Ovis aries: one gene and its partners. The protein of the gene in region 2 interacts with the protein of the main gene of each other region in a pairwise test. Links are inferred from orthologs where the notes say so. Each region holds a gene or a part of one and is shown on either strand. Other genes may lie near its edges.

What was found.
Region 1: the proteins of AGTRAP (region 2) and PBX3 interact in a two-hybrid assay, tested with the Homo sapiens proteins (4 studies listed by BioGRID). The two-hybrid records come from large-scale screens. The link is inferred for Ovis aries from reciprocal best matches to the Homo sapiens genes AGTRAP and PBX3.
Region 3: the proteins of AGTRAP (region 2) and NDRG4 interact in binary tests that used the Homo sapiens proteins (3 or more experiments, as listed by UniProt). The two-hybrid records come from large-scale screens. The link is inferred for Ovis aries from reciprocal best matches to the Homo sapiens genes AGTRAP and NDRG4.
Region 4: the proteins of AGTRAP (region 2) and ECPAS interact in binary tests that used the Homo sapiens proteins (3 or more experiments, as listed by UniProt). The two-hybrid records come from large-scale screens. The link is inferred for Ovis aries from reciprocal best matches to the Homo sapiens genes AGTRAP and ECPAS.
Region 5: the proteins of AGTRAP (region 2) and PDHX interact in binary tests that used the Homo sapiens proteins (3 or more experiments, as listed by UniProt). The two-hybrid records come from large-scale screens. The link is inferred for Ovis aries from reciprocal best matches to the Homo sapiens genes AGTRAP and PDHX.
Region 6: the proteins of AGTRAP (region 2) and SYT16 interact in binary tests that used the Homo sapiens proteins (3 or more experiments, as listed by UniProt). The link is inferred for Ovis aries from reciprocal best matches to the Homo sapiens genes AGTRAP and SYT16.
Region 7: the proteins of AGTRAP (region 2) and NKG7 interact in binary tests that used the Homo sapiens proteins (3 or more experiments, as listed by UniProt). The two-hybrid records come from large-scale screens. The link is inferred for Ovis aries from reciprocal best matches to the Homo sapiens genes AGTRAP and NKG7.

What each region holds. Positions count from the first base shown.
Region 1 is NC_056056.1:10,137,761-10,141,260, forward strand, and holds part of PBX3 (pre-B-cell leukemia transcription factor 3), read right to left. Parts: intron 1,979-3,500; coding exon 1,813-1,978; intron 330-1,812; coding exon 217-329; intron 1-216. UniProt on the Homo sapiens protein: Transcriptional activator that binds the sequence 5'-ATCAATCAA-3'.
Region 2 is NC_056065.1:41,204,312-41,208,464, forward strand, and holds the start of AGTRAP (type-1 angiotensin II receptor-associated protein), read right to left. Parts: upstream 2,801-4,153; 5' UTR 2,726-2,800; coding exon 2,591-2,725; exon of another isoform or gene 2,570-2,590; coding exon of another isoform or gene 2,543-2,569; intron 1-2,542. UniProt on the Homo sapiens protein: Appears to be a negative regulator of type-1 angiotensin II receptor-mediated signaling by regulating receptor internalization as well as mechanism of receptor desensitization such as phosphorylation.
Region 3 is NC_056067.1:25,843,264-25,847,245, reverse strand, and holds the start of NDRG4 (protein NDRG4), read right to left. Parts: upstream 2,801-3,982; 5' UTR 2,651-2,800; coding exon 2,614-2,650; intron 1-2,613. UniProt on the Homo sapiens protein: Contributes to the maintenance of intracerebral BDNF levels within the normal range, which is necessary for the preservation of spatial learning and the resistance to neuronal cell death caused by ischemic stress.
Region 4 is NC_056055.1:12,010,964-12,015,063, reverse strand, and holds the start of ECPAS (proteasome adapter and scaffold protein ECM29), read right to left. Parts: upstream 2,801-4,100; 5' UTR 2,785-2,800; coding exon 2,745-2,784; exon of another isoform or gene 2,686-2,744; intron 2,509-2,685; exon of another isoform or gene 2,453-2,508; intron 2,397-2,452; exon of another isoform or gene 1-2,396. UniProt on the Homo sapiens protein: Adapter/scaffolding protein that binds to the 26S proteasome, motor proteins and other compartment specific proteins. May couple the proteasome to different compartments including endosome, endoplasmic reticulum and centrosome.
Region 5 is NC_056068.1:64,238,595-64,242,590, reverse strand, and holds the start of PDHX (pyruvate dehydrogenase protein X component, mitochondrial), read right to left. Parts: upstream 2,801-3,996; 5' UTR 2,763-2,800; coding exon 2,603-2,762; intron 1-2,602. Other genes in the region: APIP (methylthioribulose-1-phosphate dehydratase), read left to right, coding at 2,979-3,170.
Region 6 is NC_056060.1:72,054,817-72,058,847, reverse strand, and holds the start of SYT16 (synaptotagmin-16), read right to left. Parts: upstream 2,801-4,031; 5' UTR 2,654-2,800; intron 1-2,653. UniProt on the Homo sapiens protein: May be involved in the trafficking and exocytosis of secretory vesicles in non-neuronal tissues. Is Ca(2+)-independent.
Region 7 is NC_056067.1:57,519,990-57,523,350, forward strand, and holds NKG7 (protein NKG7), read right to left. Parts: upstream 2,181-3,361; 5' UTR 1,950-2,180; coding exon 1,793-1,949; intron 1,716-1,792; coding exon 1,569-1,715; intron 1,469-1,568; coding exon 1,334-1,468; intron 1,168-1,333; coding exon 1,109-1,167; 3' UTR 501-1,108; downstream 1-500.

The DNA of each region.
Region 1 (3,500 bases), on a different chromosome or scaffold from region 2:
GAATGCATTCACAAAGTGTATCAAGTTTGAATCATCCAAAGTCACTGTTCACTTGACTTCTCATTCAATTAAATGGTGGGGCAGATGGGTCACATCTGGAAGCACCCAGCACAGGCTCTGCACGATGTGCAGACCACTTCCATGGGGCGAGAGGAAGGAGTTTTGAGCCCAAACCCTACCCTGCTAGAAAGGCCCCAGCTGGGGCATTTCTCCTACCTGTGATTGCACATTGGCTCCGACTTGGGACCCTTGGTAAGAATCCCCATTCAGACTCTGCATGTTCATGAACATGTCCCCAGAATTTGGGAGGTTAAAAGAACCAGAAGAACCTGGAAAGGAAAGAGTTAAGTAGCTGAATAACAGAGAGCTACACACATAATCCTCAAAGACCCAGAGGCAGGGAAAGGAGAAGAGGTAAAGAAGGGAAAGGTTGTGTACAACATAAAGCATTTCTAGATCTAAGAGGATGGAGAATAACTGCAAGTAGTGAATTTTGCATCTAGAAAAGTCTTAGTGATGGGGAAACCCAACTATGAAACAAAGGAAGAATCAAAACAGAGAAACACCCAGCAGCTGGCTTGGAACCATCCCCTTGTTTTCATTTATCTCCAGGACTTGTCATTAAGTGAGCTCTTCACCATCATTAGCTGTCATGGTGGACAATTACCCAGAGAAGAAACATTTTTCTGAAGCTTAAAAAAAAAAAATTCCTCCAAACTTTTTATTACTTATTTTTACTTTAAAAAGGTATTTATTATTTACTTGGCCATGCCAAGCAGCATGTGGGATCTTAGTTCCCCAACCAGGGATTGACCCATGCCCCTTGGAGTGGAAGGGCAGAGTCTTAACCACTAGCCCTCCAGAAAGTCCCTGAAGCTCTTTCTTAGCCATCCACTCTGCCTAACTTTCATCAATTTCCATGTTGCATTAAAAAGAACCTGGGATTGGGGTGGGGATGGAGGGAAAAAGAAGACATCAACACAAACAAAAAACCCTCCCTTTCTGAAATTTTAAAGACTATATTTAAATTATCTCCTTAGAAAAGCCCCTTGAATTGCTTCTCAAGCCCATCTGTTTGGGCTAGCTGTACGTCTTTCGTTGCTACTCAAGTTCCCTGTAATTTTAACACTTCCAATTCCATGAAAAATGCCACAAAAAGTTTGGCCAAAATGTATTGTATAAGGAGCCAAGATACTGCATCCATGTACTAACTACCATATCTCTCACAGCTAACCATGTCCTGATCAGCTAACCACGTGCTGAGCCTACCAAGTCAGCAGATAAGGACCGCAGACTCAAGTCTGCAGCCACATCAGGGAGAAAGCACTGTGGTACTAACCCCAGCATTCCAGCCTCATTATTCACAGCAACAGGTCAATTTCCCGCTTTTGCTATTTCACTCGTTCTTTGACAGACCACTATGGATTTTAAAAATGACACCACTATGGATTTTAAAATGACACATGGAACAATATAGCTAAAATAATCATTAGGGATAGAATGACACATGGAACAATATAGCTAAAATAATCATTAGGGATAGCACTGGGCCTCGTTGCTGAATTAAAAACCACTTCTAAGTGTGAAAGTTCCAGGTTCTATTGGTAGTGAGGGGCACTCACTATGAACAGTGGGTTTACAGGCCCTCTGGTCATCCACTCATTCACTGATTCCAGGAAGAAGCCTGCATTTTAATAGAATCTTTATGAATCCACTGTATCCTCAGTATGGCTCTTGTGTGCTGGCCCGTGAGGTGGGGCTGTGTGGCCTCAGGCTTTCTGAGCCGAGGAGGGAGTGAGCACCCATACGCACCAGAATTCGGCGTGGTGGGAGAGTTGGTCTGGTTGTTCTGCACGGCTGCGGCCACTGCGTGCGCAGCTGTCACGGCTGTCTTTGCGGCATAGAGGTTGGCTTCTTCCTGAAACTTGCCGATATTCTTCTTGTACCTGATTCGTTTGTTGCCAAACCAGTTGGATACCTATAAGTCACAGGGATGTGAGTAAGGGGAAGCGAGGGTCAAAGGAGGAAACAAGCAAAAATCAAATTTCTGCTACTAACTGTAGGAGCCCCGGGGGAGACCTTGGGAGACACTTGATTCTAGCCTGTGATCACATCTCGGGGATAAAGAAGAATGGTGCTGAGGCTCACTCACTCTTTTGGCAAACCTCTCAACACTCTTGGAATAAGACCATTTCTTGGAGTTACTAAAATGGCTGGAAGTGTTGTTCATCAAAAATATTCAGTTGGTATATACCAATTCATATATAAATGATTAGTCCTCCCCCCATCCCCAAAGGAGCTGAAAAATGAAAGGAAACGTTTGTTAAGTTAGGTAAATAATAAGAAACACTTGTGAAAGAATGACTTGTTCTTTTGGGGTCTGGAATAATTTTGGCAGCTGTACAGTAGAATCATGCTGAAAAGAGTAACATCAATTAATAATGGATGAAAAACCCCTTTGTCTCCCGCCTTAGAAGATACTGTACGTCTGCCAAGATGGCTGCTCAAGTTCTGCCAGTTAACATGTGAGAAGGTCACAACATGAAAACTCAAGCAATTCAATAAGGTCAAATGCAAATACAGAATCAGCAGCTGATTTCATCAGGTGGAATATATTTATTTCTTTTGCAAACTACTTATGATGTCAACCAGCACAAATGGAAGAGATTTCTTAGGAGGATCTTGGCAACAGGCAGATTTCATCACATTTCACTGACAACAAAACTTTAGCTCAAGATGCACTGCTTCTAGTTACACTGAGTGTTCAGGTACCTGGGAGCTGAGCTATATAAAGAAGAAGCTAAAACCCACACAGCAATGTATGAATAGGTACCCACTTTGCTATGTAAAAGGCTCTGACCTCTCTCTTGTTAAAGTAACAGTTTAAAAATACTTTTTAATAATTTCTTAATCATCTTTCAAAGGCGCATGCTGCAGTGGTATCAGACGGCGTGAGTCACAGTTTCATCCTGAATAGCTATTTAGGGACCCTGAGAAAAGGATAAGGAGTGAGTGATATGAACCCTCCAACCCAATTTCTACCAGTGGGCACGCTGGTTAACCATCTCTGCCAAGCCTTTAATTGCTTTGGAAATAGATCTCTCATTCTTCAAGCCATGGTGCTCATCCTTCCAGGGAAAGCTAGAGAGCCCTGGCAAGGGAGCCACATGAGGAAGACAATGTTGGCCTGCTGCTGCCCACATGCAGTCCCATCCTGGGGGGGGTCACTGTGAGCACATATGCACGTGTACACACGCCAGCACATTCGCTGAAGACCTGTGCAGTTACCATGAGTACAGGTTCAGACAGAAACAAGCCAAAACTCGTCAGGAAGCAAATATGCTGCAGATCAGGCCTTCCTAGCCATTTCTGTTCCACTGTCGTCTCCCTAACCCGCAAGGAAGGATTATGTGTCCCTTCTTTCCTTCATTTCAAACAGTGGTGGTAATAGTAACTATTCAACAAGCATCTCCTTTGCACCAAACATTACACATGGCCTT
Region 2 (4,153 bases):
CTGGGAAGCCCCGAGACAAGGCAGTCCCTGACTATTGTGCAGTCAGGTTCCGGAATTCTTAACCCTCATGCTATACTAACCCCCTGCACCCTCCTCCCAAGGGCCTTTTCTCACAAGCCCTCATGAACCCAAGTCTAGAACTTTCTAAACTCTCACAATGACGTTCCTTCAGCTCAGGACTTGCCTCATGTGTGGCATTGGGTTAGGAACTACCTGGAGGGCCCGGGGCAGCTGCTTCTGTTCACCTGGCACCACTGCCTACTGTGGGTGGGCTGGGCACAAGCAGGCACTGAGCCAATACCCCAGGAATGTGTGAAAGGAGGGCAAGGGTAGTGCAGGGTTGGGGGGTTGGGCATTTTCTGAGCTCCCAAGGGGTTCTGATCTCAGAATAGCCCACTTAGACTCCTGTGGGAGGCCAGAAAAAACAACAACAAAAACAGAACCCCTAGTTAATCTTTAATTTCAGATAATGAATAATTTTCTAGACTGTTCCAAATATTGCCTGGGATATAAGGTCCACTGGAGAAGGGATAGGATAACCCACTCCAGTATCCTGGGGCTTCCCTGGTGGCTCAGCTGTAAAGAATCCTCCTGCAATGTGGGAGATCTAGGTTCGATCCCTAGGTTGGGAAGATCCCCTGCAGAAGGGAAAGGCTACCCACTCCAGTATTCTGGCCTGGAGAATTCCATGGACTGTACAGTCCCTGGGGTCACAAAGAGTTGGACACGACTGAATGACTTTCACTTTTCATACTTAGATTAAAAAGTTATTCATTGTTGATATGAAATTCAAACTCAACTGGATGTCCTCAATGTCACCTGGCAACCCTAGCTGTTCACGACCTCTCAGCACTTACTTGTCTCTGATTGGTAGCAGCTAAGACCCTTAGAGATATGGTGTTTTATTTCCCAAGTCAAAGAAAGGACCAGCTATTTCACTGTGGGCAGTGAAAGCCGGCAAAGCTCACATCTGTGGTCACGTGTGGCCTGTGAGGCCCACAAAGTTTCTCCAAAAAAAAAAAAAAAAAAAGCCACAAACAGACTAAGCCCTCCCACTGGGCACTAACTGTCAAAGCAGAAGTTGGCCCTAACTAATGGTGGCCAGGAAAAGACAGAGCTTTGAAGTCTGACCGTGATGGGTTCAAATTCTGACTCTGCCACTTAATCTCTGTGGGGCCTTGACAAGTTACCTATCTGGTCTGAGCTGAAGTTGGCTCAGCTACAAAAATCTCAGAAGGTTGATACGACTAAATAAATAACCCGGCACACCACAGACGCCCTAAGAATTAGGGCTCACTCCCTCGTCAGTTCCTGCTCCTCTGTCCCTTTCCTCCTTCCCCCTTAATAATTATTTTAGGCAAGTCTCTAATCAGAGAAAAGGTAGTCGGCATTAACTGCACACAGCCTGGAACAGAGTGAATGTTGATACCAATGAACCTCAGTTGCCCTCGTGTAAATTTCTTCCCTGCTAAACCTTCAATCCAAGCCCATTCCCTTGTCACAGCCATCTCTCCCCCTGCAGCAGTTGACTGGAAGCCTCGGAGAGGTCTGCTGAAGCAAGTGTTCAATATTAAGGAAATGTGCCCACGTGAAGTCACAACACAGACCATGTCTAATAATCCAAATATGGATGATGTATTGTTCTGTAGTCATCTATCTCTTACTTTAGGACCAGACACCATGGGTGCATAATGCTTTGTCAAGGGTGAATAAGAGGGTACTCCTGCATACAATCTCAAAGGAAACTGTACCTAGGCCGCAGATGGCAGGTCTGGTCCAAGGCTAAAACCTTTCTGACCAAAGCTAAAGGCTTCAGCCTCTCAGTGGCAAACCCAGCCAAGAAACACTGGGCTGGAGGAGGGCGGGGAGAAAAAGAAGAACAGCCTTTGGCATTCTTACAGCTCAGGAAATGAAGACACCCCAGCGACCTACAGTGTTTTCCTAAATGTGCAAAGTTGGGGGATTCTGCTTTTGAGTAAATTCTATTGGTGTCTGTGTTGCTTAAGAAATAAAGACGTTGAATCTATCAACTCTGAAAAACCATCTGTCTGGGATCATTTGATTTCCTTAACTTGATCTTCCCAACAAGAGAGGCGGTAAGGGCAGTGTTGGGGGTCCAGGTGAAAGCTTTACCCCTCTCTCGGTGGAAGGCAGGTGTCCTGCCTCCAAGTCCAGCCTCGGGCTCTCCTTGGGTCCCTCCCCACCACGCTCTCCTCTTTCTCCAGAGAAATTCTGGGCGCGCAGGCCAAAGCGAGCCTCAGGGGCTCAGCGCTCCCAGCTGAACCGGTCTTAGGGAAGAGACGGCTGCTTCCCTCCTCCAGCTCCCTCTCGGTCTTTCCTGCTGGCCTTCTGGATCTGTCTTCCTGGTATGGTCTGTCCGCCCACCTCCTTACACCTGGGCTCTGTTCGTTCTCTTTCTCCCCACCACTCCACTTTCCCCAGATTCTCGGTCCTCTACCTCTAAAATCCTCACCTCTAAAATCACCTACTAAAAGCGCAAATACCCAACACGCTCCGGGAGACCCGCCCCGCCCATCGCCACCTTCAGGTTCACGGCTGGCAGCTCCATCGCGACCCAACCGGACAGCACCTGCGCCACAACCGCGGGGGCTCCTGGTCTCCGAACTCGGGAAACAAACTTGCCCAGCCCCGCCCCGCCGGCTGCCCTTTGCCAGAGCTCCAACCCCAGCTGGGCTGTGGGGGGGGGGTCACGTGAGTAGGTCATGTGACGACGGCCCGGTATCTAGGAGACGGCGTCGTGCTGCTTGAGCCTTCACTGCGCCACTGCCCAGGTAGTTACGGGGCGGGGCCGGGGACGGGGGCGGGGGCGGGCCGGGGCCGGGGCGGGGGCGGGGCCGGGGGCGGGGGCGGGGGCGGGGTGGCGGGCGGCTGGAGAATATCCAGATTTGTGTCGCAAAGGGCGCAATATCTCGCCGAGTTAAAATCCCAGCAGGTGGGCTGACGGGACCACCTGCAGCCAGGAGAACTTGGGGGAACCTCCAAGTACAATCTGCAGATGTGGTAACAGCTGGTGTCTCATCCCTGAGGGCACAGTCTCTCCTCCCTCCTTCCCCAGTGAAAGTGAAGACGGTTACCTACCTCATAGAATCCTTCTGAGGATGAATGAACTAATTCATGTTTGAAGAAAAAATACTGACACTTACTTTAAAGGTAAGGAAGACTTATTCAAGACTGTTGGGATCCCCTTGGGTCTGTCCCGCTGAGTGCTTATTCTTATTTCCAGGAGGGGAGAGACCACGTGGAAACCTGAAAGACTGGCTGGGTGGGTCCTAAGATCCTATCAAGATACAGACTCTAGATACAAAGAGCGGAGTTTTCCAGGTGGGTGTGGAGTCTGACACGACTGAGCGACTTCACTTTCACTTTTCACTTTTATGCATTGGAGAAGGAAATGGCAACCCACTGCAGTGTTCTTGCCTGGAGAATCGCAGGGACGGGGGAGCCTGGCGGGCTGCCGTCTATGGGGTTGCAGAGAGTCGGACACGACTGAGGCGCCTTAGCAGCAGCAGCAGTGGGGTCTTCTGCAAGGTCGCGGAGTCCGCTGGCCTATTTGAATGTCCCTTTTGGAGACACAGCTGTCCAGCCCCCTGAGCAGAATAGCACATCTGCCAGAGTAACAGAGAGCTGGTAAGCTTCAGAGACCGGACAGATAGCTACACTGGGCACGATTGTTGGGATTCAGAGCCCAGAGGACTAGCTGGACCAGAGAAAAGAGTTTGAGTCCTAACTTTGTCCACTTACTGGTTCTACTTGAGCAAGTCACTTTGCCTCTCTGTGCTTCAGTTTTCTGATCCGTAAAATGAGAGAAATAATAGTATCTTCCTTGAAGGATGGTTATTTTGAATTTGTTAATAAGGATTTGTTAATATGTAAAAATGTTTAGAACATTGCCTGGCAGACAGCCCTTGATCAGGACTTGCTACTGTTTTGATATTCATTATTAGTTAATTATCATAAATTATTGTTACTGGCATAGTACCTAGAAAAGAGGAATTCCTCAGTAACTAGTGGATATTATAACATTATTGTTTCCTTCTAAGAGATGTCTCCTATAAACCCTGGATCCTGCTGCTGCTGCTAAGTCACTTCAGTCGTGTCCGACTCTGTGCAACCCCGTAGATGGCAGCCCACT
Region 3 (3,982 bases), on a different chromosome or scaffold from region 2:
AAACGCATAGGATGGCTCAGGGCTCAGGACTCAGGTTCGAAACAAAGCACCACCTCTTCTCAGCCATTTGACATGAGGCAGAGACTGGCCTCACTGGTAAAATGATCACAATAATGAAATGGGAGAATGTGAAAACTATAAACAGCTCAATAAACATCAATTGAACAGCGGTTCAGTGAAATAATTTCCTAATGCTGATGTGCGGGCAGGGAGTTGGAGACCTCTGTGAAATTATCCTGGAGATGCTGCTGAGCCTGGCTCAGTCAACAATTATTGAGCGCTTACTGTATGCCACCACAAGAAACCAGCCACCACCTGTGACCTGCTCATTGGCCAGTGGAGCAGATGGGTCAGGTTTACACAGATGCATGCAACAGGGATAAAGCGGGTGAAAGCAGATCCAGACTTCCCAGTGGCCAATCAGCCAGGGCAGCTGGACTCTCCATCACAGGGACAGCTAAGACCAAGGGACCTGAGGGGAGATGAAGCCCGCGAGGTGCCCACCAGGGGCCAGGCCCCAGCCAGGAGTGTCTCCTGTGCCATTTCAGCAAGCTCCACCCCAGCTTACAGAGGGAGGGGTCAACAGTTTCACCTCTAAGATGAGAAAACTGGAGTCAGAGAGGTTAAGCCACCTATCTGAGGTCATGCAGCTGGCCTGCAGAGGGACTGGGATAGAACCCAGATTGGTGAGACCAGTAAGAGGATGGGAGGGAGTTGGAGAAAGAGAGAAGGCTGGGAAAACCACTGGAGCGGAGGCATGCCCTGTCTCCCAGGGCCTGGTGAGAGAAAATGGCAATGGGACCCAGGACTGAAGACAGTGGCCAAGGGAGCCCTGTTCCAGCCTGGCCGGGGCACAGAGTCCGCGAGAAGTGGGCAAGTCTGTCTGATGAGGGAGGAGGGGCCCTAACCTGTGTAGCCAGAGGATGAGGGTACACTGTATTGGGGCCCCAAAGCCTGGAGCCCCACCAGAGCCCCCACACATGTCTCCCACCAATATTCCTCCTCCAGGCCCTTCTGGGGCTAAAGGAGAAGGATCCAGGAGTTCTGTCCTGCGTGCGGAGCTCTAAAAACCCACCCACGGAGTGGTGAAAACTTTTGCTCCAGGGGATTAACAAGTCCAGCCACCTGTGCAATTCCCTTTGAAGTCGGGAGGACTGGCCTGCCTCAGGCGAGTTCTACACAGAAAATAGGCAGGGAACTGGCGGGGGAGCTGTTGGCTAACTGGGCTCGGATCTTGCTCTTCTGTACGCTTGGTCAGTGTTCCCAGTGCTCCAGGAACAGCGCCCATCTCCTCTTCTCTATGAGCCTGGCCTGAGCCAAGGAGGGCTCACTGTTACTTGAACCCATACCCAGAACTCCAAACTTTACCTAACCCTCCCCCGCACTCCATCACACACGCTCCAGCCCTCCAGCCTCTGCTTAGTTCAAGCCTCTCTCATATCCCAAGCCCTCTGCATATGCTGGTCCCTCCATTCTTCAGCCTGTAGCACTGCCTCCCTCTCCATTAATAGAAAATCTGTCTTTTAGGGTGCAGTTCAAATGCTGCCACACGCTCAGATCTCTCCTGCCCTTATCTCCCACCTCAGGCTCCAACCTGCTTCTTTAGTGTGTCCCCACACCAAGCCCCCTTCCCTGTCCTGTCCTCTGTTCCCATGCACCCGGTGGCAAGGTCCTCCAGGTGAGGGACTGAACCTCCCAGGTGCCAGAGGACATTTTCTGGAACCCATGTGTCCTTGCAGGACACGCTGACTGGGCACCCCAGAGCCCGGCACCTGGGGGCATCTGGACCTCCCTGCTGTTCCCAGCCCCCATCCTCCTGTCTGGGTCTCTCTGCACGTCTCCCCTGGGGAGGCCACAGGAGCCACCAGCAGGGTTGGCCCTTCCTGTCTGGGAGAGTGCCTCCACCCTTCAGACCCCTTGCTCCGTCTCCTTCCTCTTCTCCAGAGCAGACCCAGTGTCCTCTTTTGCTTCCAGCCACTGCTCCCGGGATGTGGTTTCCAGCAGAGTGGCTGGCCACTTCTTCAGAGGGGCCCAAGGCTGAAAGTTCCTGGTCATCAGGGTCCAGTCTGGCTCCCCATTCTCCTGGTCACTGGCCTCTACTCCCAGCGAGTAACTTCTCCTCCCAGGGAGGGCTGCTCAGATTGCCACAGGGAGCCGGAGATCCGAGCCCCCTCCCTCGCCAGCCCCGAAGTCTATTGGAGCCCAGGGAGCTTCTTTCTTGGGGGGAACCGATCGACACTGATAGAAGGGCAGGGGCTCCAAGCTCCCTTTCTTCTTTTGAAGACCTGACTAGAGCTTGACTCCAGCGGGCCGCTCCCCCGACCGCATCCCGGCAGCAAGCGCTCTACCCACCCCGACGCCGACCGCGGAGACTCAGAGAGCAAAGCCGGGCAGGGCACCGCCCCAAGTCCTCTCCCGGGGCCCGGCTCTGCACAGGAGCCCGCAGCGCACAAGGTAGGAATGAGCTGGTGTCCGCACCCCCTCCTCCTGCGCCAACCCGAGACACCCCAGAGCCCTGGCCGCCGCCACCGCGCCCGGCTCCTGCTCCGACTCGGAAAGTAGCTGGCGGCGAGGCCGCGCCGAGGGGCGGCGGCCGGGAAGGGTCGGCGATACCTGTCAGCAGCTCGATCTTGTGTCCGAGCACCTTCATCTCGGCGTCCGGAGCTGCCCGGCTCGCGGCTACGGCGTCGGGGGAGTGCGCTCGGCGGAGCCAGGGACAGGAGCGCGGGAGGCGAGGAGGGAAGCGGCAGGAGAGCGAGGAGCGGAGCAGGAGGAGCCGCCGGGAGCCGGGAGCGCTCTCGCCGCCCCCCACGCCGCGCTCCCCCCCTCCAAACCGGTTTAAAAAAATCCACCAATTGCACGACCGCGCACCCCTAAAAGGCGCCCGCCGCCACCTGGTCCGGGTGAACTCCGGGAGGCGGAGAGAGAGCGCGGGGTGGGCGCGGGTGACACTCCGGGAGGCGACGGGAGGGGGCCCCTCTGCCCGCCGCGCGTACAAAAAGGCCCTGCCGCCCCCGATGTCGCGATCGGGGAGGCGCGGGGGGCGAGGTGCGGCGGTGGCCCTGGCCGGGGTGGGGGTGGGGGAGTCCCCGTGTCGGGCCGGGAAGGCGAAGAGGAAGAGCCCTGGCGGGGTGGAGTGGGGTGGGGAGGAGATGCCGCCCTCCTAGGCGAAGTGTGGCCCGGCTACAAGGCGGCCGGCTCGCGGGTCTGGGTCGCGCGCGGGGGCTGCACCGAGGCGGTGGGGCCAGCCGGGGCTGCAGTGGCCGGGGGGTGGCGGGAGATGGGCCTCGGGGCGCTGCCGACTCACCTAGAGAGACGCGAGCAAGACAGACGCGCAGGCGGGGAGCCAGGCCTCCGCGCCGCCGCCGCCAACGCGCGGGTGCAGGTGCGGGCAACCCGGGGCCCCTCCGCAGAGCCACCGCTGCTGAGGGCGGGGGCCGGGCGGGGGCCGGGCCGGGGGCGGCGCGCCGCGGGGGGCGTGCCCACGAGGGCGCGGGGAGGGTGGGCGCTTGTCCCGGTGCTGCGCCGGGCCTGGGGGCTGGACCCGGGAGGCGGTTCCTGGGCGCGCGGCTTCCGCCTCCCGCAGCAAGCTAGACACCCGGACACCCGAACCCAGCGGAGAGCCCGGCTTGATCGGCCTGCTCCTCACCTCCTGCAGGAGGCCGGAGGAAGGGTCCCCGCTGCTCCGAGTGCGCCGGGAGCGGTGGGAGGCCCCGCCCGCCCCGCCCGTCCCCTGGTCGCCGCGCCACGTCGAGCTCCCGAGGGAGGGAGCGGTCTCTGCCCTAGTCTTTGTTTAGATTCCCCGGGAGCCGGAGGAGACAGCACCCCGCTCCGCCGCCCCTGTCGCTGGCTGGGAACCGCTGGGGGACAGTCCTGGGGGGAGTCTGAAAGAGCCAGGTGCTCAGCGGGGCTTTGGGTCGTCGTCGCCTGTTTGCAGAGCCTGAGGGTTTCCTTGGGGAAACTCATGCGGGAGTAACTCCAG
Region 4 (4,100 bases), on a different chromosome or scaffold from region 2:
AGACACGACTGAGCAACTAAGCATAGAGCACACACAGCATCTACTAGTCATAAACAACAACCAGCAAATATTCAGATACTTAGCTCCTTTTTTTTTTTTACAGCCATCTCTCCTTTTATTACAGCCTTTCTGAAACTGAAAGTGATTTTAAGTTCCTTATATATATGTGCAGTATATTATGACTGTAATTTCAAGTTAAATTATTCTAAGGTATCAACTACCAAGTACTTAATCTCTCCTTAAATACAGAAACCAAGTCAACAGACATCTGTAGTCAATGACTGGGGATTTGGCCAAACAGAATGAAAAGGCAAGGACTGGAATAACTTCCTCCTAACTTTTCCAGTAGCTGCTAAAGCCAATAAATTCCTTAACCAGAAGAACTGCAAACATCTTAACAGGTACTGATGTAGAGGAGTACACACGTATAGAAATACATCAGCCACTTCAGAATGAGACCCAATTCTTCCTCCAGTTTTGTTCCCCATTCCAACTAGTAATTTATAGTTTAATGTGTTTAGTGGTATAACATGAATTCAGGCATCTAGCAGTGGAACCACTTAAAAAGTCAGACCACCTCACACTCCTTGGGATGGCTGCTATCAAAAGTACAGAAAATAACAAGCGTTGGCAAGGTTCTAGAAGAAAACTGGAGCCCTTGGTTTACTGCTGGTGGGAACATAAAATGATATAGCCACTGTGGAAAACAGGATGGCAGTTCCCAAAAAAATTAAAAATAGAATTATCATATCACACAACAATCCCACTTTGGGGTATACATACAAAAGAACTGGAAGCACAATCTCAAAGAGATACACGCACATTCATATTCATATCAGCAATAGTCACAACAGATAAAACATACCAGCGTATCTATCAACAGACAGATGAGTGGATGAGAAAATATGAAATATACCTACAACGGAATATTAGCCTTAAAAAGGAAGAAAATCCCGTCACATGCTACAGCATGGATGAACCCTAAGGATATTATGCCAGATGAAATAAGCCAGTCACAGACAAATCTTGTATGAGTCCACTTACATGAAATATCTAGAGATGTCAAAATCATAGAGACAGAAAGTAAAATAGAGGCTGTCAGGGGCTGGGAGGGGGAGGAGGAGGAGGAGGAGGGATTTAGTGAGCAGTGAACTTCAGTTTTGCAAGATGAAAAGTATTCTCAAGGTAAATGGTGGTGATGGTTGCATAACAATATGAAATGTCCTTAAGACCACTGGCCTATACAGTTAAAAATGGTTATGACGGTAAATTTCATGGTACGTTTATTTTACCACAATAACAAAAAATGGAAGAAAAAAGATCAGGGAGCTGACCTCCCCAGAAGGCCTGGTGGTGGTGCTCCAGCTTGACAATAACAGGCAAGCGACAACTCTGTGACTATCAGCCCCTGTCTATCTCTAACTACCGCAAGAGACCCAATCTACTCAGGCTCTGTATCCTAACCAGGGTCACATCAATTCTTTATTTCAGCTTCAAAATGACCAAACACCACTACTGCTAGGCCAGTTTTGTGTCAAAGCAGCAGGGAAATTTAACTCTCTAAACACGCCTCCTCTTTAAAACAAAGATAATTTCTACCTACCTGCTTTAGTAGGCTGTTACGAGGGGAAAAGTGAGATCATGCATATTAAAGTAGCTTTAAACAGCCAAAGACCAAAGAAACAGAAATTATTATTATGTGTACAACTACTTTCATATGGAAATTGAGAGAGGGGAGGCTGTAACAACAGAAACTTCCCAAGGCTTGTTACACCTGTCCCAGGTTTCATTCCATTTAAAACTCACAGCATCCCTAAATAATACCTTTCTTGTTTTTGATCATAAACTGAAGGGCAGCACGGAGAAACCCAACACTTCAACTTAAAGCTTTATATCCAAACACCCCAAAACGCAATCAGAAATTATCTTACAAGTCCTAGGAAAATTCGATTTTTTTTTTGACCCCCAGCGTGGGCCTGCGGCGCCCGGGAACTACACTTCCCACAAAGCACCGAGGCGAACCCGGGCGGCGGGCGGAGCGGCCTGTGATTCAGGGTGACCACCGCTTTCCCCGAACGTAGATCGCCGTCCCCCGGAAAACTGCAACGTTTAAGGTCAAGTGTGCACTGGCTCTCCTTTCCCAGAGCGCTGTCACCCCGAGGCTTCCCCTGCAGCTAGCGCCGCGACCCTCTCTGCCCCCCAGTCCTTCCTGCTCCACCTGAGGGTCACCGCCTATTCTTGACCTTCCGCTGATTTCCAGAGTGTCACAACACGGCACCTTCTCTCCCTCCCCGAAAGCGCTATTTCCAGAACTTGCCCCACACTTAGGACCGGAGAAATCCACGGAGAGGTCAGACGGGACGGTGGGCACAGCCCGCCACCCTGGGGCTCCGGCCGCTCCGCCAGCCCAGCCTCAGCGGGCAGGGGAGCTAGGCTTCCCCCCCAGACACACCGAGCCGAGGCGGATCGCACAGAGGGCTCCTCCCGGGGCTCCGGTTTCAATTTCGCAACGTGACGGTGCAAAGCTGAGGCCTACAAACGCCAGCGGTGGCGGCGGCGGCCCGCCCGCCCACCAGGCCCGAGCGCCCCAGCCCCCCACACGCCGCAGCCGCGGCCCGCCAGTCCGTCCGTCCAGCCCGTCCCGCCCGGCGACCCGACCCTCCCGTCCGGCCCCGGCCGCCGCACCCCCGGCCCGGCGCGGCGCTGACTCCGGCTCGCGGCCGCAGGCTTGCCGTGGCACTTACTCAGCTCGTCCTGGGAGGCGGAGGCGGCGGCCGCAGCCATGTTGCGCCGGGGAGGGAGGGAGGGGCCGGAGGGGGAGGGTGCGGACGGGCGGCGCGGGGGGCTCGCCGCTCGCGGTGCGGCGGGGGCCGGGAGCCGCCTCCGGTCGCTCGGCGTGGGCCGCGCTGCGCCCGCGAGGCCCGCCCGCCCGCCGCCGCCGCCGCCGCCGCCTGCGTCCTCCTCGCTGCACGCGTCGCTCTCCCAGTCCCCCGCGAGCTCGCGGCTGGGGCGCTCCCGCAGCCCGGCGCCTCTGCGGAGCAGCCGCCGTCGGTCGGCCGAGTCCCCCGTGCGCCCGGCCCGCGCGGCGGCTCTGCGGCTCCGCGCCGCGCTCGCCCGACTCACGCCGGTTTTATATTTAGAAAGAGCTGAGCCATCCTCCCAGCGGCCCCCCCGCCGGGCCCCTCGCGCGCCCGCCTGCCCGCCCTCGCTCGCTCGCTCGCTCGCGGCTCGTCCTGCCCACCTGCCGCCGCCCGCCCCGCGCGCGGGAGCCGGCCCCGCGTGCGCTCCCCGCGCGGACCCCGCACGCGGCGGCCTGCGCGGGCGGCCCGGCCTAGCCGCTTCCTCGCCCGCCCCTCCGCGCCCGCGCACCCTGCGGCGGCCCCGGAGCGAAACAAACGCGCGGGCCTCTGACCTGAGTCCGAGCCGGTCTCCATGCCGGGGATGCTGCGCTCGGCGCCGCGACGCGGGCGCCCAGAAGTGAGGCGAGCGGCGAGCTCGGCCCGCGGGGAGCCGCGCGCCGCCGTCCGTGAGGGGCTTGGCCGAGCTGGCCCGGGCTGCCGACCGGGGAAATCCTTGAGGCCGGGCCGGAGCTCTTTCTGTAAAGGTCTGTGGCTGTCACGTTGGCTGGTCCCGACCTGGAGAAACACGCCCGTCCAAAGGAAGAGACGTGGACTCGGAAAAGTAAAGCTGGGTTCAGAGTCGGCGGGAGGAAGCCCCGCCCTGCGCCTCCCGCCGAACTTCTCAGCCCTGCCGCTGACTCAGTCCCGGGCGAGCCCCGGCGCGGCGATCGGCCCTCGACCCTGCTCGCTGGGCTTCTTTTATACTTAAAGGCAGTCATAGCGTGTAGGTTTCTGATGCTCTTAGGAACTAGGACTACCCAGTGAGGGAAGATCACTACGCCAACTAAAAGTTCAATAAACTAGGATTTTTAAAGTTCAAATGCAAGTTTGTATGCTTACAGGAGCTGTTTTCTTACATTTTTGTTGCAATCCCTACGTTCTTTTTGGTAACCCGAGTGATTGAGTTTGAATATAGTGATTTAAACTTTACGCCTTGTTTGCCCGTGACGTCACTTAGTTAAGGCGTTTGCATAATTGCTT
Region 5 (3,996 bases), on a different chromosome or scaffold from region 2:
ATGCTCTGTAAAGCAAATAGTTCAAGGATTGTCATGTATATTTATCATGGCAAAACAAAAATACGTGAAGTCAGGAGACAAATCTTGACTTAGCATTAGGAAAAATATCTAAGATTTCCAAATAACCTACAGCTATCCAATAACATACAGTAATCAGCTTTCGTGTAGACAGACCCCAGAACCTGTGAATATGTTGTTGCATGGTAAGTGGGAATTAAGGTTGAAAAAGAGATCAGAATTGCTAAACACCTGACCTTTTTTCAAAAAAATTTAAATGACTTTGGCATTTTTTTTAATTCATTTATTTTTTTGGCCACACTGCACAGAATGTGGGATCTTAGTTCCCTGACCAGGGATCGAACCCACACCTCGTGCAGTGGAAGCGTAGTCTAAACCACTGGTGAGTGTATGTGTGTAGATGCTAAGTCGCTTCAGTCGTGTCCAACTCTTTGTGACCCTATGGACTGTAGCCCACTAGGCTCCTCTCTCTATCCATGGGATTCTCCAGGCAAGAATACTAGAATGGGTTGCCGTGACCTCCTCCAGAGGATCTTCCCGACCCAGGGATCGAATCTGTCTTCTGCAGCTCCTGCACTGCAGGTGGATTCTTCACCTCTGAGCCATGGGGGAAGTCCTTTAACCACTGGCTCACCAGATAAACACCTGAGGACCACCACTGAACAACTGATCTTGAAATAGGGAAAGAATCCTAGATCACTGAGGCGGGCCCTGTATCCATCAAAGAGGGAGGCACCAGGAAGCTAACACAGCTTTCCTAGGATTCTTTACAGATGAAGTTCAAGCAGATAGACAAGTTGTTCGCAGTGTGTTGGGGGGTAGGTAAAATTTCATGATGCCTCAGATAAGCACTGTCAAGTTGGGTCTAAGCAAAATCCCTGAAACGGCATGCACATTTTTGAGTATGCAACACTTGCCCCCTTTCTCAGTAGAGAGTTTAAAATGTTCAAAGATTCTCAAAAGGATCTGTTTAATAAGAACATTCTTTCTCAGTTATTCCTAACAGTGAGCTTTTAATGTTCCATGGTTTTCTAAGAGAGCAAATCTCAAAGTGTAGACCATCAAACACCAAACGTTGATGTTTTGTACACGAAAATTCACCAAAGGTTGTTTATAAAATGTAGATTGCTGAGTTCTACCCCAGACAGAATCTCTGGCAGCTGTAGGAAAGTTCATTATTTAACAAACTGGGGGAAGAGAGGACAGGGAATGCTAAAACACAGTTTAAAAAAGCCACTGCTACAAGAGGGATTTTATGAAACATTAAGCTGAAGGAGTTTAATTGTTCCCTTAAATCTTAAAGTCTCAGTGCACTCACCATGCCATTAACTTCATGTAACTTTTTTTTTCCCCCTTGGGCCTCAAGTAGCTCAGAATATGTAGGCAAATGCCTACGCCAAATTTTTTATATTACAATTCATGGTATGGAGGGACTGAATGATCGGCAGGTAATAATTATACATCAGGCTCAGTATGTACTTGCCCCTTTTGTCAAGAAAAATAATGCCTGGCACACTACATTGCAAACTATTAAATACTGGGAGAATTGTGTTTTATTTAATGACAACTTTCTATAATAAATTTAAGGAATTTCAACGACTGCCCAGTTCCACAGGGGTTAATTCACAACTCACTGCAGTTGCCCAGCAACAGTGAGACCTGAGAGGAATTCAAGATGAAGCACTATGCTTTGGATAAACAGGCTCTGGGATGGTTCAAAGCACATCTCAGGAAGAATTTAAATAACCCTAGATTCTTACATCTCCCCATCCATAGAAAAACACTAAGATAATAAATATTAAAATCATTAACATGACATATCTGTTATGATTGGCGGTAATTTTTGCTAAGGTATATGCTTGACTGCATTCATTTCCTAGCCAAAAAAATTCATATGCAATCTGGCTTAGCCCCCACCCCCCCTCAACTCCCACCTCTGCAGAGCAGTTCCTCAGGGCTGAGTGTCTGTCTCCCGGGCTATAAAACTCAGTAAGACCTAGAATAAAACTTAAACTCACAACTCTTTCGTTGCGTCTTTAAGTCGACACCTTCGTAAGATTCCCCTCCTAAATTTTCACTCTTTCAAGCTCATGTTTTGCTTAAAACATTCTTCCGGACCTATGTCTGATGATGTCTAGACATTTACAAATGGGGTCCTTCATCAGTCCTGGCGTAGAGCAATCCCAGGGGCCTCGAAGGTCTCCTAACTGAGACGGGTCAGGAAAATGAATAAAAGCAGCTAACGATGACGTCTGAATGTCAGCAAACTTGGGCAATAAGCCAACTCTAAAGCCACCTGAAATATGACTGGGAAGGGGCCTGAGACAGGCCTCAGAACCCAAATTCCAAGGCAAGGTCACGAAGAAACCAGGCGGCCAGAGATGGAGTTAAGTTCTCCTAGCTTCCAAAAAAGCCCTTTGCGGCATGCACTAGACCACGCCAGCAGACCCTCTCCCACAAAAAGGATTAGGGAACGGTGAGCTCCGGGCGCCTCCACACCCAGATGCAGGCCTTCGATCAAAAAGCCCCTGCCCCAGGCCCATTGCTCAGCTACAGAGAAGCTGAGCAAGCCCCGGCCACTCACCCCGCAGCCACTGCGTACTGTGAAACCATCTCCAACTAGCTCCACGGCCGACAGACCACCTAGCAGCCCCCTTAACCAGCTCTGGGCTTCTGCGACTGCCAAAGCCCAAAAGGCAACGCAGCAGGCGCGGGTCACAGCCTAGCCTCCAGGAGGCCGCCATCTTCCCGGCCTTCTCCTGGGCTGCCCTCAGCACAGCCTGATCGCCCAGTCATCAAGGCCCGCCCATGCCCCGCCTCCCAGCCGGGGACACGCCCCCTAGAGGCCAGCGCGCCTCTGAGTCGAGTTCTAGCCCCGCCTCCAACCTGGCTGGCCCCGCCTCCCAACCAGGCGGCTGCGCGGTTGGGTCAGAGAGGCCCTCTCAGACCCGCCTTTCATCATGTCCGCCCCGCCCCCAGGCTGCCCTCAGAGCCGCCTGATTTTAGTTCGGGCCTCGTTGAGTTGGCCCAGGGGAAGCGCCAGGAACGCTCGAGCCGTGCGAAGTTGCCAGGTGCGGGTGCTGCTAGTCCCGGCCATGTCTGGCTCTCACGCTCCAGAGGGAGACTGTTGCTCACGGCAGTGCCGCGCGCAGGTAGGGGCGGGGCCGCCGGTGCCCTCTATTCCCAGGAAGCGAGGCGGCGGCCGAAGCGAGGCGCCGGCCGGGTGGGGCTTTGCGCCGGACCGGACGCTACCACCGTGCGCCGCCCCTTGCTCCCCGCGTGTGGACTTGAGGCCCCTGCCTACTCGGCGAGCTTTGCTTCCAGCGCTGGGATTTTTCGGCGGCGAGGGCTGGGCACCAAACGTTGAAAAGGGAAAAATAACTGAGGGGGAGCATTGGGCGTCTTTAATGTGATTTTCAAAACCATTTAACATAAAAGACCTTCGGGGAAACTCGAAGCTCTGGAGTGGAACTGGAGCTAGGACTGTCCCCTGCAGCTGTTTTCCTGCGCTCTTCGTTTGCCGCTCAGTAGGCAGTGGGAAAACGTCCGCGGAGCCAGGTCTTCGGACTGTAGCCAGCACTTTTACTCTGCGCAGTTGCTCTTTGACTGCCTCGGATTAGATTGATTATGGAATGACCTTAAAAAGGGTTTTTCCTTAAACAGAAGAGGAAAATCCACCCTCGGGCTGCGCATACCTTTTATTCTGGAACACCCTCGTGCTCAGGGTGATGATTAAGAGCTTGGCCTTGGGTACGGAGGAAATCTAGAGGAATAAACAATTGCAACGTGAGAAGCCTTGCTTAATTAAGAGGCAGAGAGGGAAAGCCCCCCCCCCCCCCCTCCAACTCGCTCCTTTATTTCTCCTGGGGCTGAAGGGCCCAATTAAAAAGTAGTAACGTGGGTCACAGCCTAGCAGGTTTTATTGGGAAATTCTTGGCAACCACTATTCTTGTGTGAATAAGTAACATAACACAGATT
Region 6 (4,031 bases), on a different chromosome or scaffold from region 2:
TTAACTTGGAGGTCAAGTAGGAGAGGCAAGAAAAGACACACTTCTATTTTTATTTTTATATCATTATGGGAGCCAACTAGGAAACTATTGAAAAACAAAGTTACTAAGTATCTGCTCTGGGTGAACATTGGTAGCTGTTATGGTGGGGTTCTGGCAGGGAGGGGGTTATGGCTGACCTCTTCATTACAGGTCTATTGGGAGAAACCAAAGTACCAGCAGGAGGCCTGGGCAGAGGGCCCAGCTCTGCAGCAGTAGCACTGAGGGGCGGTCTGGGGGTTGTAAGCCAACAATCTCATCCTCCTGCATGCATGCCCACTGAGTCACTTCAGTCACTTCCAACTCTGCAACTGTAGCCCGCCAGGCTCCTCTGTCCATGGGATTCTCCAGGCCAGAATACTGGAGTGGGTTGCCATACCCTCCTCCTCTTCCTGACCCAAGGATCGAACCCGCATCTCTTTCGTCTCCTGCATTGGCAAGTGGGTTCTTTACCACTGGTGTCACCTGGGAAGCCCCGCATCCTAAGTAAGCATTACAAAGTATGACTGCTAGATACACACAGCTTCTAGAGAAATCCCCTACAACTCCTTGACTTCAGGGCAAGCCCTGCCCATTCAGGAGCTCTGTGCCTTGCATGACAGGGTGGCTAAAAAACCTCTGAAATGTCCTCTTGGTCTCTTCTTAGCCCACATCCCAGGTTCATGCTGGATTCTGCACTCATACAAAGGGAGTCAGCAGAGGGCCAAAGAAAAGAATAGGAAATTCCAAATTACTTCCACAGGTTTCACTGTGAGTTGGGTTGAAATTTCTTTTCTTCTTTCTCAAATCCACATCCTTAGGATTTGGCGAGCAGTAGGGGAGATGCAAGTCTATTTCCAGTGTGACTATGAAGCTGTTGAGACTGATTTCATGGCCGAGGACAGCCCCATGCTGTTTTTAGCCCCACACCAGCACTCTGGGATCATGCAGATCAGAACTGCCCACGGAGCTCCCTCTCCTGCATGTGATAGCTCTCTTTAAAACGAGATTTCTGGATCAACTCTGGTGTTCCCACAAAGGGCCATTTACATAACTGAGCAAAAAAGTGCCAAGAAATAACTGCCTTAGGCTTGCGGCTTTCTAGGAGAAATGGTCAACACTTCTTTTATTATCAGACTGAAGATGTTTTAAGATTATATAATCTCTAATAATGTTCATTTTCAATGTAACAATAATCATTGACTTCTTCTGAGGACAAAAAAAAAGAGGCAAATGGGAACCAGATCTCATTCGCCTTTAAAATTATTTGCTGCTACAACTAAAATACTCTTAGTTAAACTACTCAATTTTCCTTGAACCCTTAGAGAAGGGTGAGTAGAATTAAGAGGTGTTCACTCCCTCCAGGGCCTTTCTCAGACATGATATGTTTATGACGTATGCCTACATGCCCAGAGGTTCTGTTCTTACCACTCCTGCAGGTCAGAAACACTGGGGATCAGAGCTCTTCTAACCCGTTTCCTATAGCCTTGTTGTTGGTTTAGTCACTAAGTTATGGCTGACTCCTGTGTGACTCCATTGGAAAACTGTAGCTGGCCAGGCTCCTCTGTCCATGGGATTTCCCAGGCAAAAATACTGGAGTGGATTGCCATTTCCTTTTCCAGGGGATCTTCCCAACCCAGAGATGGAACCCGCATCTCCTAAATTGGCAGGCAGATTCTTTACCGCTGTGTCATCTGGGAAGACTTTCCTATAGCCTACTCACTGCCTAAATATTTCCACTGTTTTTCTACCCAACCACAAGTCTCAATTTTCCCTCTGAGTGCTCCTATGAGAGTAACTGTTTCCATTTAAACTATGGAAGAACAAGGAACTCACCCTTGCAGGCGCCATGTAAGTGTCCACAGAGCTTCCTAGAGAGAAGGACCCAGGGCAAGCATGCAGCTCTGGACAAGAACGAGGAAGCCCAGGAACTTCATACCCAGGACTTCCTGTCACCGGCCTGTTCTAGGCACCTAACACTCTTCAGCAGGAGCTGAGTAGGGAGAAAATGGGACTGACTTTTAAGCTCTGATTACCTGGGAAACTTTTATACCTACAGGGGCCTGAGCTGTACCAAAGACCCAGTGAATCAAAATTTGGGAAGTAGGTCTCAGGTAAATTTATGTTATAAAATCTCCAAAAGAGATTCACATACACAGGTAAGGCTGTAAATCTTTGTCTGACCTTCTCAGTACCAGGACGTGGGCCCTCAGACTTCACAAAAGATCAATGTTCCTGCCTCCCTCCTTGACTTCAGACTGAAAAGTGAGGGTGCATATGTGACAACCTTCCCTCCTTGAGGTAAGAGTGAGGACACCGATAAGATATCAAACATTGCCTGCCACTCGGGTGAAAGACCATTCTCTACTCCACTCACGTGGGGCTCCATTTGCTTTCTGATTGAGAAAAATACCCAAGGGCCAGCTCCTGAAGGAAATCTGTTTTACCCCCAATTAACAGACTTTTGATTGGCACAGTTTTGAGACGATACATTAGAAACAGCAGAGAAGTTTGCTGAGTGCAAGAAAGCTAGGGGTCTAATGACCACCCTCCCTCTACTCTGCAAAGCCAAGATAAAAAGAGGGCTCATGTCAGCTCTGTTTGAACAGGAGATGGGTGAGCTCTGAAAGCAAATTACCTGGTTCCTCCAGCGGTAGCAAAGGCACAAGATACTTCTGCTCCTAAGCAACCGATGCCTTTATTTCCTGTCATTGCTCAGGCTGGAAAAATTCAGTTCCCTGTTTCCCTTACATCACCCTCCCTGCTCCCTACCTATCTGCAGAACAGAAACTTGAAATGGTGTCCTGGCCCTTCCCTGATGCTATCTCACACACAGACAAAAATTCTCCGCGAGACCCAGCCCTGTTCTTTTGGGGTATGAGGAAAGGAACACGATCTAGAACGCCATCTGTCATCCTGAAATAGCCAATAGTGGCACTATTTTTACCCAGCAATTATCAAACAAATGGAGTCATTTGAAAGAGTCACAGCTGTTCCTCTGTGTTATCTCAGTACAAATATGACACAGTGCAAGTTGATTTTGGTTTCAGCTTCGTGTCTCATGTACACCAAGCAAGTGTTAATTTCTCAACCTCCCAGAAGAACACAAGTCAAAGTGTGTACTCCACAACTGAGTCATTCGTGCAAATTAAAAATTCCTTGTTATCTTGATTATATGGGTCAGGATTTCACTAAATGAGAACATCATTCCAAAAATGAAGGCAATGAACTCCCTATTTCAGAGTTAGTGTCAGGAAATTTTTTAATCTCACAGAAACATCAAGTTTTCTCCTGGCTAAATATGACCGAAAAGAAGGATTGGTACTTTTGAAATGTGTGTGTCAGCCCTTCCAACAAAAAAGCAAAATTTTGTAAAAATCAATCCTACTTTCCTATGATTGAGCTTCATCATAAAGTCAAAGAGATGTCCTATTGAAATAAATGTCTCTAGGATACTGAACACACACATTCATACACACGTGTGTGTACACACACACACTCAGACACCCAGGCAACTCTCTCCAACATTTATTGTTCTTTTTGTCCACCTGCATCCTAACCCCCTTCCTATGGATGGAGAATTCCCAGCCTAAGGAGGCAGTGCTCTCCCACAATGAGAGTGAACATGCCGAAGACTTGCTTTCCCAGCTTCCTTGCATTGGTCAATCAATCAGACAAGCCCCAAAGTACAGAGCTCACCAGAGCTCCCTCCGGGCACAGAGATGCTACAAGAAATACGAGTCCCTGCAGCAGCAGATGCCCTTGCATGCAGGCATGGCTGCAGCAGCAGGGCTGATATGGGCATGCAGTGTTCAGTACCAAGGGCATCTGGGGTGCAAGCTGAAGCCTCTAACACTGTGCAGTAAGAGGAGTGTCCACCAGACTAGCTCCGCAGGCTGAATCCCCAGCCCACCCAGAGACCCTGTGAACCAGGCAACACCCTTTCAAACCAGCATTCTGGTTAATTGCTACAAGCAAGGACCTTAAGTTGAAGAGTTTTTTTTTCCAATGGTTTA
Region 7 (3,361 bases), on a different chromosome or scaffold from region 2:
GTTGGATTGCAGTCTTTTTTCTCTCCCCTTCTGGCCTCCAGAGGGTGCAGAGTGGGGGGCTTTCTGGCACCCAAACCAGATGCTGTCCCTCCCCTGCTCCACCCTTAGCTCCCTATCACCCTCAAGAGAGTCAATTGTGGGGTTAGAGGTGCTACTTCTCACCCATCCTCATTTCCTGTCACCCTCTCACATTCGACAGTGGACCACAAAGTGCTGTTCCCCATCTTGTGAGAACTCCCAGCCTCTCCATGCCTCCACTTTGGGGTCCCTCTGCCTGCATTACCTTTCCTCATCCCTGGAGAAGTTCCTAAACACATTCTCCCCAGAAAGCTCACCCCCACATCCCACCTCTCCCCCAGACACAGCCAGTCCTCCTGCAATACCAGCCCTGGGCTCTGCCTGCCCCTGTGGGACTTGGAGCCCCTGGCAGGCAGGGCCCAGTCTGAGTCACCTCGGCATCTACGGTGGAAGGCCCAGCAGAAAGGATGCGCTCAGGAAAAGCCAGCCGAAGGAGTGAATTTATTAATGAAATGAACAAGGACTAAGGATGAACGCCAGGGTGACTAAATCAGAGAGGGAGCCAAAAGACAAGAACTAAAAGGAGGAAGGTACAAGGAAGACCTCCCTGTTGGCCCAGGGGTTAAGACTCTGTGCTTCCGCTCCAGGGGGAGCAGGTTCAATCCCTGGTCCCGGAAGTTTGCATGCCATGCAGTCAAAAAGGAAAAAAAAAAAAAAGACACAGGGAAGAAAAGAGATGGAAGGACAAAGAAGAGAGACAACAAGGACCCTAAGGCCATGTCTGAGCCTAGACTGGTCCCCACACTGGGTAGGAGCTCCCGAAGGGCAGGGCGGGTGGCAGGACTGACTCCCCTCTGGGTGCCCAGCGTCACCCACCATGGAGCTGGCATGTCATCAGTTTATGTCGTAGCTGCATGACCCTTTGAATAACCAGATCCCGGCAAATTTTTGTTGAATGAATGAAGCTACAAAGGAAGAAGCTTGTGGAGGCTGAGAGTCAGGGCAGGCTGGCTGGAAGGAGAGCCAGCTGTTGCTTTCAGGATTCCTGATGATGCCTTCAGAGAACAGAGCTCTAAGGCCATCCTGCGGTTCACATGGCCTCGTAGCCAGGCCGGTGGGTCGTGCAGTGAGCACCCAGACTCAGGCCACCTGGGGTAGCAGAGAAAAGTTAGATACTTGCTCCTCTCCTGCTCCCTCAGAGCCCCCAGCCAGCCCCAACCCTCCCAGCCAGCCCCTCCCCCAGCCAGCCCCCACCCCAGCCCCAGCCAGCCCCTCAAGCCAGCCCCAGAACTCCCCAGGCAGCAATCACAATCACCTGTACAGAGAAAGAGGAGTGTTGAAACCCAGCCCAGGTAGAAGGACCATGCGAAGAAGCTCTGGACCTGGGGGTTTCCTGGCTGGTTCCACCGCTCAATGGTGTAGACCGTCATAGCCACTATCAGGGACAGGGCTGGGGATGGAGACATGAGGGTCGGGTCAGCCCCCCTGCAGCAGCTCCCCCTCCTCAGCACCCCTCCTCCCCGCCCCCAAGCCCAGCACGGAGTCCTCACCTCCAGCAAAGGCCATGAAGGTGGAGACAATGGGGCCGCGTCCGGGGGCAGACAGCGAAGGGATGCAAGACATGACCAGAAAGGCCGTGGAGATCAGGCCCCACAGGACGGCCAGGATGCAGAAGCTCTGCGTCACATGGATGTAGCCTGCTCGGAAATGGGACCTCTGACTGCCCGTCCCCGCAGGCTTTTCCCAGCACCAAGACCACACCCCCAGCCCTTACCTGCTACTGAGACTTGATCCTTGCTGGGCCAGAGGCCTGAGTGAGATGAAGACTTGGGCCCCTGGGCTGCAAACCAGAAATTCGTGCTCAGAGCCACTAAGAGGGACACCAGGCCCAGGGAGCTGGTGAGGAGGGCCAGGGACCGGCAGGGCTCCATGGGGGTGAAGTCTGGGTTCCTGGGTCCTGGGTGGCAAGGACGAGGCTGGTGATCTAGCCTCCTGGGTCTCTGAAAGAGGAGGAAGTCTGTTCCCCCTCCGCCCCAGATTCCTGGGTCCTCTGGTCTCAAGAAAGAGAAACCAGCAAGCGCTAGGGGCGGCTGGGGGGTGGTCTTTGCTCCTCAACGTCAGGCCCGTTTGGTCTCAGCCTGTCCAGGGCAGCTGCTCTGTGTGACACACCCTGCCTTCCTGGCTTGCATCGACACCCGTCCCCCCAACCCCGCCCCTCTCTGAGGTTTCCCTCACCCTGGACGGTGGCGGCGGGGGTTGGCCCTGAAGATGTCACATTGTCACTGGTTTGGAACTTGTCTGTCTCCACAGAAGCCTCTCTATATGCTGCCCTTGGGGGCCTCCGCACCAGAGGGGCTTCCTGGAAAAGGTGAGAGAAAGAGATGGGAGGTGGGTAGAGGAGTGAGCAGAGGGGGCATGCGGTGAGTGAGGCTGGGGTGTGAGTTAGATGGGAGGGGAGGTGTGACTAGAGGGAGACAGTGGGGGAATGCATCATGCTTTCCTGTAATTCTGCAATTTTCCGTTCTGGGAGGTGGGGGCCCCTAATTCTAGGGTCTCTGAAAAAAGAGAGGGGGCAGTTGGCAAGGATGCTGGGCGCTGCATGAGGAAGGTGCTAGAAGCCTAGACTCCAGGTGCTGAACTCAGACTCCTGGCTCCTTGCTTGGAGCTTGTGCCGGGGGGAAGGTAGATAGTGACCACAGTTCTGAAAGTTTGCAGAGGGGAAGACGTGCCCACATCCTGGTACAAATGAGTTCACAAACAGCTCGGCCGAGGGTAAGGCGTTCAGCCTGGTGGGCTTCATCGCCGGGATCGGGGTTTCTGTGGTCAGGGGGAGAGGGGGGATGGGTAAAGGATGTCAGGGCAAGACTTTCCGGCTCTCCTCACCTCAACCAGCGTCAGGCTCTGGGCCCCACCTCAGGCACAAGGGGAAGGTGTCACGGCCCAGCGGGGAGGCGCAGACCCTAACCCTATCTCTGTGAAGCAGGAGTGACCTGGAACAGGACTGCTGTCCCAAAGAGGAACTGAGCCGACAGTCCCAGGACAGCCGGCGAAGGGGAGAACAAGAGTGGCTGCAGGAGGCCGGTCCTCTTCCTTGGCTGGAGACTCCAGTTTGCAGAGTTTGCCCCCCATCTAGATCCTCACCACCTGGGCAACTGGTCACTCCTGAGAACACGCTTGGGAGGACAGGCTCCTGGAAGGAGATCCTGGTCATGGACAGCTGGGGCACCATCTCGAAAGCGGTGATGGACCCGGCTCCTGTGAGGAGCAGCTGGACAGGCTTCAGGAAGTCTGGGCTGAGGGCATGTGATGATCACATGCTCGGAACCCATCTGTGATCTTCTGT